Linked DNA regions of Astyanax mexicanus. The protein of the gene in region 1 interacts with the protein of each later gene in a pairwise test. Links are inferred from orthologs where the notes say so. Each region holds a gene or a part of one and is shown on either strand. Other genes may lie near its edges.

The links.
Region 2: the proteins of tacc3 (region 1) and cib3 interact in binary tests that used the Homo sapiens proteins (3 or more experiments, as listed by UniProt). The two-hybrid records come from large-scale screens. The link is inferred for Astyanax mexicanus from reciprocal best matches to the Homo sapiens genes TACC3 and CIB3.

The regions. Positions count from the first base shown.
Region 1 is NC_064414.1:9,971,795-9,978,860, forward strand, and holds the start of tacc3 (transforming acidic coiled-coil-containing protein 3), read right to left. Parts: upstream 3,002-7,066; 5' UTR 2,854-3,001; intron 1,699-2,853; exon of another isoform or gene 1,661-1,698; intron 721-1,660; 5' UTR 720-720; coding exon 546-719; intron 162-545; coding exon 34-161; intron 1-33. UniProt on the Homo sapiens protein: Plays a role in the microtubule-dependent coupling of the nucleus and the centrosome. Involved in the processes that regulate centrosome-mediated interkinetic nuclear migration (INM) of neural progenitors.
Region 2 is NC_064411.1:47,999,899-48,007,712, reverse strand, and holds the start of cib3 (calcium and integrin-binding family member 3), read right to left. Parts: upstream 3,019-7,814; 5' UTR 266-3,018; coding exon 215-265; intron 1-214. Other genes in the region: sugp1 (SURP and G-patch domain-containing protein 1), read left to right, coding at 6,240-6,258, 7,618-7,789. UniProt on the Homo sapiens protein: Acts a an auxiliary subunit of the sensory mechanoelectrical transduction (MET) channel in hair cells. Plays a role in regulating hair cell MET channel localization and function.

The DNA of each region.
Region 1 (7,066 bases):
TTTTTAGCTAGAAAAGAACATGTTGATACTCACTCAGTAGAAGTCAGCGAGAGAGACTCTAGGAGAGCTGTGCAATCATCCAAAGAGGCCATCTTGCCAACACGGCTAGGAGACATAATTTTCTTAGTCACCGGGTCTCTGCGTGGAGTTTGGAAACAAACCTGGAGAACAAACAGTAACGAAAACTTAAGGGGATAAAGTGAGCAGAAATTTAAATTTAAGCAAGAAATATCCACATATTACAGCCACATTCAACACAGTCAGTGTACGGAATTCAACAACCCTGAATGTGTTACAAAATGACGTGGATTACAGAGAACAATGAGTTTATTCATAAAGTAAGCAGTTCATTAAGAAGAACTATGCCTTTTGTAGCAACATGGCAAAAATAAAAAAATAAAATGTACATTTTACAAACTACAAATAAACACTTCCAAAAACTGTACATCAGTTAAAACTCCTAACTTCCTTTGGAATCAATTGACTGTCTATCTAGCCCTATCCAAGTTAGCACATATACAAACACAATCATTTAAAGTCTCTACCTTCACTCCTTTGGGCACGTTTTTGTTGAGGTTTTCAGCCTGAGATTGTCTCAGTATGGAAGGCCTGCCGGTGGGCTGATCCAAAGCGAAAATATCAGCAGAAGTTTCAGGTGCAATGTGCTTCCTAACAGGGCAAACTCCCTGATTCTCATCATTCACCACCACTGAACTCATACTAGAGAGAGAAAGAGAGAGAGAAAAACACACTGAAGAGTATGAGTGACGACATCATAAAACGAGCCACTCCCAGTGGGCACTCTGTGTACAGTACCCAGCTGGGTTTACTGATAAGCCAGAAGGACTTGTGCTTTAAATAAACAGAAAATTTAAGTAGTTTGTTGATGAAAACTGATATTTTAAATTAAATGTTTTGATATCCACTTTTAACTGTTTGCAGTTTATATGCATGCACAAATCATACTGTTACTATTTCACACAATTAGAGTCTTGGTAAATAACTGTTAACCAAAAACGACAAACTAATAGATTTTTAGTTTTATTTACTAAAATTATTCTGGAATCTTATTTGGGTGCATAACTACATTCTCAAAATAAATCTTATACTGTAATACTGTAGACCACATTCAGCAACAGACAGCAATGTTGGTCATGTCATCACAGCTGATCCAGAGCCAATCTCATACCTATTCAAAGCTTCATTAGAAAGACTGTGGATACTTTCAGACATACAGTGCTGGTTGGTCATGTCGGTGAAAGCCTGAATTTCCAGGCTAGCTGCAGAAAGCATACAAAGTGAAGAGCCATTGTGCAGAATTAGGTCAGGGGTGGTTTAGTTCGGTCAGCTGATGTGTGGCAGTGAAAGGTTGTTACTGTAAAATCCCAACTGTGCTCCAAATGTTAAGTAAAACTTATGTGAAAAGGTGTCCAACTGAGAAAGCCCATCGGTGAAAGTGAATCATACCTTCAAGAGAAAGGCAGAAACTGGAGGAAAATAACTTGACATTTCAAAATTACTGAATCAGTTGGCAGTTACACTTAGTATTTCCTGGCACACTGCTTTTTATATTTTACACAGTATTGAGGATAAACAGGTTATAAACCCTGTCCCTTGATGGCATGACTTCACATGACTAAGAATATGGAGTTATAATTACCATTTATGGCCATGTCTCTCTCCAGAACCCAGGAAACTCTATTTAAAATGAACAATGCACCATCAGCTTTACCAAGCCAGACTTCAAGAAAATTACCGATGTTCTACAGTATTTATTTCAGTAGGATTTTATAGGTCAAATGAAGCACCTCAACATCAAAAACAACATTCTGTGGGTAATAGAAAATTTATTCGTTACAAATAAACGATTATACAAGTTGCTTGAGTTGCTCAGTTGGCACAGTGTTTCAGTTCTCCTCCATGCTACTTCCATGTTTTAGATTGGACAGGGTGTGGTCACGTGATTATACATGTGGTTGTAAGTTCAGTACATGTACACATTGCTTTTTTTAAAACGAAATCAATATTTGAATCAATAAAATGCATTATATTAACTGCGCAGACCTAGTTTACACTCCAAACAAGTGTTCTACATTGTCACCCTTGTAGTTAAAATGGTCACTTTGTTTTAAATGTAATACAAACTCATAGCAAGACATTAAAATAAGCTCTGTTGAGTTTTTATAGGTTAAATAAGTTAAGTTAAAACAATGATAAATAAATTATAACCACACACACCAATGCACGTTTTAAAAGTACGTTACTTTTAGGACACTCTGTAATTACACATACTCACACTTAACGTTAACTCTTACTGACTGTCATTTTAAACAGTAGAAGACAAACAGTAGTTAGTGTTTTAATGGGGGAGCCAGACATTTCCAGAACTTAGTCAAAGGAGATGCATGTGTAACGTTACACAAGCTAGCTAGCTAGCTAACTAACCTAACGCACTTGATAAATACTCCATAAATAATTTAAATACGATTCAAAAAGTACTACATACCTTAAACATTGAAATACTTTAACTTGGTTAACCTGCCGTTAACTAGTTAACCAAACTAGCTAGTAAACTAAGCCAAACTATCTAGTCTGGTAAGCTTAGCTAACGTTAGCTAGCTATGAAACGTCAGTTAAATTAGTGTTTGAACTGAATACCAAAACATTGTAAAATGTGTAAACTAGATAGCTGAGTTAAAAGTATAAGTTAAGAGAGAGAAATTACCTAGCTGGCCACTTAACTATTTATTAAAATACCAGATAACGACTCGCTGTCAGAAACTAGCTTTAAAAGTATTATTTCACACTTTAAGTTACTCGACACTGCTCATAAAGATTTGTCCTCATACTTACATGTCTCCGTACAGACAGTCAGCAGCAGAAGAAGCAGAAATAAAGATTAAAACGTGTTTATCCTGAAGAGACGGGCTGCGGCTCCCTCTCCGCTGTGAGTATCTTAACTGAGCCGCTGCACTGGTTTAACAGAATACCCGTTTACCGTTACATTTCAAATTTAAACGCCTTTGCCTCCACCAATCACATTCCTACCGCGACGCCAAGAAGGCGGGCTGTAATATGAATCTACCAATGCCATGTCAAACTGCGCGCAACTCTGATTGGCTGGTGCAGAAACAGACCTGGCGAATGAGCCAATAGTAAACACATTCAATCATAAACAGGCCCACATGTTACCTTATTCAACCCGTTGTAATCATTACTGTAAAAGCAGCGCCAGCAGAGAATCTCTGGAGAGCAAAATCTTGGTGATATTTAAAAAAAAAGCTCAATATTTTTTACGACTTAGATTTCCAGTTCTTACACCACAAACCACAAAAAACAGCACAATTCAAAGTGACCTGCAAGTTATTGTTTCTACGGAGCACCTGAAGGGACATGGTTTATTTTTTAACATGAAAAAGTGGTGAGCACCACATACTAAGTGGTGAGCAGCAGATAGTAAATGGTGAGCACCAGATAGTAAGTGGTGAGCACCACATAATCACTTGTCTGTACCTGACTGCGACATTGTGCTGTGCACATGCTCTGCAATCCTCCATCCAATTATCTAAATCCTATTTGCCTAGCTGCCACACTGTATGTGTATGTGTCCAAAAGCTTTTTCTACAAAATGATGCCTTCTAACTTGTGCACGTCTTATAAGAGTTAGCTGGCTATCGTTAGCTCTGGGCTTAACGCTACCTTTAGCCACCTAACTAAAATATTCCCCACTGAAATAAAGTAGTTAACATTAGCTAACATAGCTAACTGGCTAGCTAACAACGTTATTACACTGTGGAAAATATGACAGATTAAACTATAGCTATAGCCAATTAGTATCTGGTGCTCATCACTTGTGTGTGTATGTGGTGGAGAAAAAATACTTTTTGAATAAATAAGAAATAAATAAGTATAAGTTCCGACCCTGCAATGTGATTGGCTGAGAGGAGTTTTATGAGCAACATTATTAGGCGATAACGCACTGTAACCGAAGCTTTCCATGTATTACTCCGCCAAATACAGGTAACATAGCAACGATGCAGCTCTTACCAGCCAAAAATGGACATTAATCTATACATATTTCTCTCTTAAAAACGTTTATTTGTTTATAACTAAACCGATCACATTTTCTCATCCTGTTTAACTCAAAATTGTTCAATAATCAGCAGTAATGGAACTGTGGTATAATCGCAATAATACACTCAAGGTTCGTGCTATAACGTGTCATATTGGCACTGCTGTTCTGAGGACCGCATCCCAGCAGTGCCAATATGACACCTTGTACCACTCCCTCTCGTGTAATATTGCTTAAATAATGCATCTTAATACATATTTTTTGCAAAATACACCATTCTACTTTCCAAAATTAAATGAATATACTGGCAAAGTATTTATAGACTATTTAACTACATTAAACTGGAGTTTTTAGCCATTTAGCTCCATTCCCCGTTATTCATTTTGCACTCACTCGAGGGCTCCCTCTAGCGGTGTGCGGTCAGTCTGATATAAAAGGGGAGATATGAAGTGAGTAGGCTCTGATTTGACCTGTTTGTGAAAGCACTACTAGCACTTCTACTCAAGAAGTAAATATAAACACTGATCAATAACAGTTTTACCCATAGACTGTATATAAAGATGGACGCCGTGTCGCCGTTCCCATTCATTCAATTAAAATGAAGCCAAAATCTTCCGCCATTTTGGCGATTCAGAGACCAGAGTCTGCGCAGTACAGACCAGAGGAGGGAGAAAGGCTGTGGAGAGACCGCCTACTCATTTGAATAACCCCGCCCCTGAGGGCTGCCTCGCGGTCACAGACTGCAGAGCGGGGTGGAGCGGAGCTGACGGTCTGTTATTGGTCCCGCCCATAAGCAGCCCTTTTACCATAACCACAACTTTTTTTGAATAGAGCCGAATAAAGTTTTAAAAACCGAATTCTGTGGGGATATAAAAATTTGACAATATAAGCAGAGGTTACATTAGCTGTTGCATTTAAATAATGGATGTAGAATTACAGTATATTAGAAAAAAACGTGATTGAAAGTTGTCTGTTTTGCCATTGAAACCTATGGGGATGGGTGGAGTTACACAGCTTTCTGCAGCCGAACAGCAGGGGGCGCCCGACCTGTGGTGGCTTCACTTTTAAGAGACGATGCTCTGTCCAGCTATACACAGTCTATGGTTTTACCCACCAAAATGTAATACACTTCTGCTTAAACACCCCAGTTTCAAAGGTAGGTCAAAATTCACAATATAGTCTATTTAGGCTAAAGATTTATGTTAGAAAAATTTGTTACAGTAAACATAACTTAAATATTGACGATAATATTGACTGCATCACCCATATATATTATGCACAGAAATATTTTTGATTTATTTTCCTTTAACAAGGTTTATTAAAATTAAGGTGGGACTGTTTATTACTTCAAAGGAACATATTTCAACTATTAATGAAAAAAGATGGTTTTAGGGTTTAGTGCCTCTTTAAGTACAAATACTTTGCCACCTGTCCTTGTTAAAATTAAATAAAAAAAATGAATATTTAAAACATGTGTTTTTATATTAACATTACTGTTATTGTCACAACAACCTGTGGTTCTGTAAGAATGGTTTCAGAGGTACTACTCTGTCATATCATAACTAGAGCTGCAGTGATTATAAATAATAAGTAATTTGTAACCGCAATAATGGGTGTGGTAGTGGGGGTAAAAGTGGGCCTGACTACCCAGGGCCCGAGTAGGGAGAGGGGTCCATGAAAATCCAGATTTTTATTTTCGCTCACATTCCTTTTGTACTGGCATGGATAGGAGCCCACTGACACTGAGAGTGTACAAGGCCCAGAATTTGCTGCTATGCCCTGACCGCAACACACAAAGTGCTTGCGACAGAAACACAAGGGGGGAGGTAGTTTAAACTGTGGTCTGTGTCTCCAAATGCACCCTATATCACAAAACACATTCAAACAGCTTCTGTGCTTTACAGCTGTTTCTTTTACTTAAAAGTGATGGACGGCATGGCAGAAATAATTAATACAATCTATTTGACTCACTGAATAATAATAATCACATAATTTGACTACTAAACAGCTTAGTTACAGGCCTATTCATAACCATGAAGCTAGCAACTGTAAAAGGTCATTGATGGTAACAAAACTAACAGAAAAAGCCCATGCCATGCGTGAGAAAGAAAGAGGTTTTTGGTAAAGTGAATAATTAATTTATATAATATTCATATGCTTTTTTCATTCAGATCATATAGTTTGGCAAATATCATGTATTGTACTGTAAACTGGGATTAATGTTATGAAATTCATTACCTACTGTAGGTTTTGTTTCTTGAAAAAACAATTACTGTAATTACGCAAAGGTCATGCCATATCATATCATACGCAATAATACTGCAAACTATTTTGACACAATAAAAGTCTACATATCGTTATAATAGTGATATTCGTGAAAGTCTATTTTGTATTTGTTTTTGCTGTTTACTTTAGTTACAGTTTATATTCATGTACAAAATGCACTGTTCTTTATTTTGTGTTAGATTTTTGTTGTTACTGTAAGTTACTGTTTAAAAAACAAGCCTTTTCTGTGTATGAAACTCCTATATTTATATTATAGTAAACTTTATTTATTTTGATGATTTAGAATATTTCTGAAATGTTTTTTCTTACTAAAATGTTTCGTCAAATAACCAAAAATATCGCTATCACAAAAATACCCTGAAATATTTCCCACCCCTAATGATCACATAAGTGAAATTTAAATGTATTTTCTAAAACTAACATTCAAACATTTTCAGTCAGTGTGGCCAAAATACACCATAATACAGAAAAAACACACAAGTAAATCCTTTGGAATTACCTGAATTTCTGCACACCGCCAACTGGCAAATAAATATAAACTACTTTAATGCTATACATGTTCAAGTCTTTATTTTAAAGTGTAACAGAAACACAGAAATATTACATTTGACTGTAAATCGTAACTTTTTTCTTTTTTTCTTTGATATCAAGACCCACACTTTTCTTCCTAATGTGTTACTTATTTGTATATTTTTATTTTTGCAATTA
Region 2 (7,814 bases), on another chromosome or scaffold:
TGTGAATTTAAGAGGATGAACGAAATAATTCACTAACAATAATATAACTTTTACAGTCCACAATTCATACACACTGATACACACTACGTTAAATTACAAAAGGACATGAAGAGTTTGCACATTTAAACTGCATTATTATAGATGTTCTTTTTGCACCTCTCTAACACAAGCCATAAATAAATTAATTAATTCTATGCAGCTTCTCCTGACTGACCTGATATGCGTCCAGTTGCTGGGCAGTGAAAATGGTCTGCTTGTTCCCCATTCCCGCTCAGCCAGAGTGAGCCCCAGAGCCCCATGTGAGTGAGTGTCAGTGTGTACCAGAAGGGAGTGTGGGCAGATATTTCAGATATGAAATGTACGAGACAATGGAGAGGGGATCGGGTGTCCGCCCTGCCGGGCCCTTCACCTCACCATTATAATGGAGGCATTTCATCGTTTTCATTGCGCTGAATGGCAGCCGTTTTTGGACCTGAATGAGGCTGTCGGTCAGCTGGAGTGCCGATGGCAGCGAGCCCCCGCTGAGAACGGGGGGTGACGCCTCACCCGGGGTTCAGATTACACCTGCTTTACCTGGGCTGCAGCACAGAGGGGGTTCAGCAAGATGAACCAGAATTAAATGTGCTATTTGTTTGATATTTAAGATTAGCTTTGTGTTTACTTGTAATTAAATTATAAGTGGGAATTTGTCTTTAATTCTACTTCTGTATATTATCTATGTCTGTACAGTTTTAAAAATTGCCCTTGCAAAAAAAAAAAAGTTTTGCAGGCACATATGACCATTTAGGTCATTTAGGGCAGTGTTGGCTTAGCAGTTTAAATGCTGGATAATCAATACCAAGCTTTTGGGTTTGATACCCAGGTTTAATATAATATCCATATTGTCTGCTGTTCCAGGGGCATTGTACCATGTCTGCCCTTGCTCTCTGACCCCAAATGGGATAAGTATCACTTTTTTTGATAGAACACTTCTACTCAGATTTTTACTCAAGTCTGTGTCTCTAGCACTATACATTTCTGTTTTAGACCAGTTGTAGCAGACCTGGGGCCTCATGAACTAAGAGTTGTGTGGAATTAATAATAAAATGAAATGAAAATGAAAAGTTCTATATGCACTAAAAAAAACAGATGTATGAAACCGTATTTAAGTAGATTTTGACCCACACTATTGTAATACATCACAATCAAATTCAAATTAAGCGCACATGCAGGAACACAATACTCTGCCTTGTCTCCTTCCTCCATTATGAAGATTATAATATGCTAATTAGTCAAATATGCCTTGCAATACTCTTATTAGGAAAATGGCGAAGAAAAGGAACTTTATCGATCACGGATCTGAGGTTTTGCTGTCAGAGGTACGCACACTTTTATATATATATATGTATGCGCATTAGGTTCTCGTTCTCACGCTTTACTAAGTCATGGCCATGCATTAGGATCTCCTTCCCACTCTTTAATAAGTCGTGGCCACGCATTAGGATCTTGTTACTATGGCTTAGTTATCTCGTTCCTGCGCATTAGGTTCTCGTTCCCATTCTTAAATAAGTAGGGGCCACTCATTAGGATCTTGTTCCCATGCCTTAATTATCTCGTTCCCACATATTAGGTTCTTGTTCCCACGCTTAATTAAGTCGTATCCATGCATTAGGATCTCATGTTGTCACATAATTCCGGCTCACACAATAGTGAAGTAAATAGTGATGTGGTTTACAAACAATTTGAAAAAGAACACATTTTGCATTTAATATGCCCTATATGGTTCTTTAAAATAATTATATTTAAAGTTATTTTATTTTGCACTACTTTGTCTTATTGTGCAGTGTTATTTTTGATACAAACAATTTTAATAAATAAACATTTTGCAAGAATGATGTTCTTTATTGCATTAATTCTATCTAAAACAAAGGCAAATGTATAACTGAGATTCTGAAACTGTGATTCTTTGCTATACAAGGTTATAACAAAGCTTAGTTGAACACGAAATGTATTCTATTTAAAAATATCAAGAACTAACAGTGTGGCAGAAAAATAAACTGTTGATGGGCAGAAAAGTTGTGAGTCTCTGATAAATCACAGTATTGATAAGCACATTATTTGTATGATAACTTAATATGTATTGCATGTAAACTCCACCAGAAGCATGATGGGAAAATGATCTCAGAAAGAATCTAGTTGCAGTCTTGCAGTTAGTGATCCCCAGTCTTTGCAAAATCTTAGCCTGTTAGTAAAAAGTCTGTGACTTGTCTTTAGATGTGAGAGGGTGTCAGACTTTAGTCTGTTAAAAGTCTTTTCAAAGTCGTGTAGTGTATGTGTGTATAGTGTATTATCAGGAAAGTCATGAATTACATTTATTCAAATTACTGTAATTGAGTAGATTTTATATTTTATTTTTTAATTTGTAATTTTTTAAGTAGTTTATAAAATAGGTAATTTTTACTCTTTTTACTCAAGTACATTTTGACACAAGTAATTTACTTCACTACATTGGAAAACTCCCCGTTACTGAGTAAATAATTAAATGTTGGGGTTTTGTTGAGTTTTGTTCTCCATGGCAGCGCAGCTGAACGTTTCCCAGCAGTGTTTATTACGGTTAGCGAGAGAGACGCTGTGTAAATCAGCTGTGCTCGGGGGAAACCGGTGTTCTGTAGAGTTATGCTACCCATCGATATGTGTTTCTTTAGGTTTTTTTTTTTTTTGTATGATTTTATGTTTTTCATGATAATTCCTTAAGTTTTTTATTGGAAACATTAAACAATCTTCTTAAATGTAAAAAACAAAAACATGTAAATAGCAGTTAAAGCATGGCAATGGCAAGTTAAAAAAATGATAATGAACTGTAAAACTATAGCAATACAGTTTATAGTCATGTATATGACCATAACTTTTAAACGGTAAAGAAAAAAATGGATCATAGAAACCTATGCCACTTGTTTTTAAAAATGTTTTATGGGGTGGTCTGAACAAATACTGCCTGAAAGGTCCAAATTATTATTTGGAATAATAATTCATTAAATATATTTAATTTATGTTTTGTACTTTTTTTACATCAAATAATTAAAAGTAACTATGTAACTTTTACTCAAAGTAAATTGTAAATTGAGTACTTTTTTACTTTTTCCTCGAGTAGATTTTTTAGATGGGTACTTTTACTTGAGTAGAATTTTAGCAAAGTAATGGTACTTTTACTTAATTACAATTTTTCAATACTTTTTCCACCTCTGTGTATTATAAGCTTGGTCTGAAAGAGACCTAAAAAAAAGTCCAACAAAAAGCAGCACTTCTGAAAATGTCTAATTTAAGAGTGTTTTGCTCTACTTATCTGTGGGGAACTCCTTCACCATCTCCAGCTCCATTCAGTAAAATCTGCTCCACAGTTTCTCCTCCTGCGCTGCGGGCGGCGGTGTGAACTCCTCTACAGTACAGCGGGTTTGTTTTCGAGACGAGGCGAAACAGTTACTGAGTACCAACTGGAGAGGGGGTTGGATCTCTGCCTGCCGGGAGACGGGCGGCAGTGGTGGGTCTTCGTGACGTCACCCGCCAGCCACTTTTTCATCGACCCGGCAGTGTCAGGCACGTACCCGGCAGTACTAAAAACTGTCAGGTAGCTTCCTGACAGTACGCCGGCACTACTAAAAACTGTCAGGGAGCTTCCTGACAGTACGCCGGCACTACTAAAAACTGTCAGGGGGCTAGCTGACAGTAAGACCGGAGTCAAGCTATCCGCGCTTCGGAAATTCTCAGTCAAGTCATCCGCGCTTTAAGTTTAGATGCGCGTATACGTGCGATTTTACGGTAAACAGCACGCTTAAAAAACACAGAGAACGGGAGACCGACACGTTTCAGTCTATTATATTAATTCAGACATACATTAAGCCCAGAAACGAGAAAAAACGGATTAAAATAACTCACCTCACTGTATATTTTGTGCAGTACATTATCTATTTGATATAATATCCCATCAGTGTTTAAGAGAGAGAGAGAGAGAGAGAGTTTTATATTAATATTACTTTTTTCAATCCATGCTTCAAATTAAATTTCTCATGAGTTTCCCAAAAAACCAAAACAGATCCAGTACCTTGTAAAAGAGTCCATCCTAGACTATCACTTCTGCAAGTGTGGGCAATTTTCACTGTATGGTTTATTTTATATTAATAAAAAAATTGTATGCGTGTTTAAAATAAAATTTTTCATGATTTTCCCATAATGCCAAAACTGGTCCACTACCATTTGAAAGAGTACAACATAGGCTGTCACCTCTGCAAGTTTGGGCAAATTTCACTGTATTTTTTATTTTATATTATTATTATTATTATTATTATTATTATTATTATTATTATTATTATTATTATTAATGTTTTTTTATTCTTGTTTAAAATTAAATTTCTCATGATTTTCCCATAATGCCAAAATAGATCCACTACCATGACTCCTGCATATTTGGGCAAATTTCACTGTTTTGTTTATTTTATATACATTTTTTTTTTTTTATGCTTAAAATGACATTTCTCATGATTTTCCCATAATGCCAAAACAGTTCCATTACCATTTGAACGAGTCTGTCCTAGGCTTTGACTCCTGCAAGTTTGGGCAAATTTCACTGTATTGTTTATTTTATATTAATTTATTTATTTTTTATGCTTAAAATTTAATTTCTCATGATTTTCCCATAATACCAAAACAGTTCCACTGTTAGCATTTGATGCCAAAACATAGGCTATCACCTCTGCAAGTTTCGGCAAATTTCACTGTATTGTTTATTTTATATTATTATTATTATTATTATTATTATTATTATTATTTTATTCATGTTTAAAATTAAATTTCTCATGATCTCATGATCTCTACAATTTGAAAGAGTCTGTCCTAGGCTATGACTCCTGCAAGTTTGGGAAAAATTCACTGTATTGTTTATTTTATATTATTTATTTATTTTTATTATTTATGCTTAAAATTAAATTTCTCATGATTTTTCCATAATGCCAAAACAGGTCCACTCCCATATGAAAGAGTCCATCCTAGGCTAGCTCCTTGACAGTTTTTAAAACTGCCGGCGTACTGTCAGCAGGCTCCCTGACAGTTTTTAAAACTGCCGGCATACTGTCAGCAAGCTCCCTGACAGTTTTTAATAGTGCCGGCGTACTGTGAGCAAGCCCCCTGACAGTTTTTAGTAGTGCCGGCATACTGTCAGGAAGCTCCCTGACAGTTTTTAATAGTGCCGGCGTACTGTCAGCAAGCTCCCTGGCAGTTTTTAAAACTGCCGGCGTACTGTCAGGAAGCTCCCTGACAGTTTTTAGTAGTGCCGGCGTACTGTCAGGAAGCTCCCTGACAGTTTTTAAAACTGCCGGCGTACTGTCAGGAAGCTCCCTGACAGTTTTTAGTAGTGCCGGCGTACTGTCACGAAGCTACCTGACAGTTTTTAAAACTGCCGGCATACTGTCAGCAAGCTCCCTGACAGTTTTTAATAGTGCCGGCGTACTGTGAGCAAGCCCCCTGACAGTTTTTAGTAGTGCCGGCATACTGTCAGGAAGCTCCCTGACAGTTTTTAATAGTGCCGGCGTACTGTCAGCAAGCTCCCTGGCAGTTTTTAAAACTGCCGGCGTACTGTCAGGAAGCTCCCTGACAGTTTTTAGTAGTGCCGGCGTACTGTCAGGAAGCTCCCTGACAGTTTTTAAAACTGCCGGCGTACTGTCAGGAAGCTCCCTGACAGTTTTTAGTAGTGCCGGCGTACTGTCACGAAGCTACCTGACAGTTTTTAAAACTGCCGGCATACTGTCAGCAAGCTCCCTGACAGTTTTTAATAGTGCCGGCGTACTGTGAGCAAGCCCCCTGACAGTTTTTAGTAGTGCCGGCATACTGTCAGGAAGCTCCCTGACAGTTTTTAATAGTGCCGGCGTACTGTCAGCAAGCTCCCTGGCAGTTTTTAATACTGCCGGCGTACTGTCAGGAAGCTCTCTGACAGTTTTTAGTAGTGCCGGCGTACTGTCAGGAAGCTCCCTGACAGTTTTTAAAACTGCCGGCGTACTGTCAGTTAGCCCCCTGACAGTTTTTAGTAGTGCCGGCGTACTGTCAGGAAGCTCCCTGACAGTTTTTAGTACTGCCGGGTACGTGCCTGGCACTGCCGGGTCGATGAAAAAGTGGCTGGCGGGTGACGTCACGCAGACCCACCACTGCCGCCCGTCTCCCGGCAGGCAAAGATCCAACCCCAACTGACCAACTGAGTAAACAAGGGGCTGAAAATGGAGGCGAACGATGGAGGTAAATTAACTATATTAAAACACATTAAAACAATAATGAGTGTAGCCGCGGGGATCCGCTGATTATGGTGTTTGAGCTGCCTGCGTATCGCTAGCTAGTAATAAGGCTAGCATGGTGTTAGCTAGGGCTTTAGCTTAGCTTAGCATATTTTAGCCTAGTTTAGCTAGATTATACACACCCTTAGCTAGCTTAGCTTTATTCTTTATCCTTAATATAAGTTACTTATTTGACTAGCAGTTACTAATACTAACATTCCTTTGTGTAATACGTAAAATTAGTAACTTAATTCGTTGATTTATTGTATTTTAATCTTCAACTATGGCTAACTAACCAAGTTAGCTTAGTCAGCGGCTGTAGGTTAACTAGCGTTAGTTTAGATTAGGTTAGCTAATGTCAGCTCTAGTTATACAGCTCTGAAAAAAAACAAGAGAGCACTTAATTTTCTGAATCAGTTTCTCTGATTTTGCTATTTATAGATATATGTTTGAATTAAATGAACATGTCATTTAGAGCATTTATTTGTAGAAAATGCAATCGAGAAATGGCTGAAATAACAAAACAATATGCAGAGCTTTCAGACCTCAAACAATGCAAAGAAAACAAGTTCATATTCATAAAGTTTTAAGAGTACAGAAACCAATATTTGGTGGAATAACCCTGGTTTTTATTCAGAGTTTTCATTCTTCTTGTGATGTTCTCCTCCACCAGTCTTTCACACTGATTGTGGATAACTTTATGTCTTTACTCCTGATTAAAAAAATCAAGCAGTTCAGCTCGGTTTGATGGTTTGTGATCATCCATCCTCCTCTTGATTATATTCTGGAGGTTTTCAATTAGGTAAAATCAAAGAAACTCATAATTTTTTAAGTGGTCTCTTTATTTTTTTTGCAGAGCTGCTTTTTTGCTGCCCCTGTGTATTAAAATGTAAAAAATAGCACTTTATAAATAGTAGAGGTTCATTCCCAGTGTTATTTATTATTGTCTGTAGAAATATATGAGACATAAGCTACAGTACTAGTCAAAAGTTTAAATACACAACTTCTCATTCAATTATGTTATTTATCCCTTTATTAGATATATATATATATATATATATATATATATATATATATATATATATATATATATATATATATATATATATATTACTTATGTCTCAATTCATAATTAAGAATACTCAATACATTATTGAGGGAACACATTTTTTAATTGTAGGTCCCTGGGCTTTACCTAAAAGCGCTAAGCAGAAAAGTGCCTAATGTATATGCCATACTTTTAGACCTTTGATCATATGTTGTGTATTATAACAGATCCTAAGCCAGTTTCAGCCTGATGTTAACTGTACATTTTGTGTTGCAGGTCGAGGAGGCTGGAAGAATAATAACAATAATAAATTTGCTCAGAAGAGCAAGCTCAACGTTATTATGAGGCAGGAGGAGTTGATCGCTCAGAAGAAGCGTGAAATCGAGGCAAAAATGGCAGAGCAAGCTAAACGGAACATATCAGCTCCTAGCAAGCCAATACCACCAAGGTAACTTATCTACAAATTCTCATTA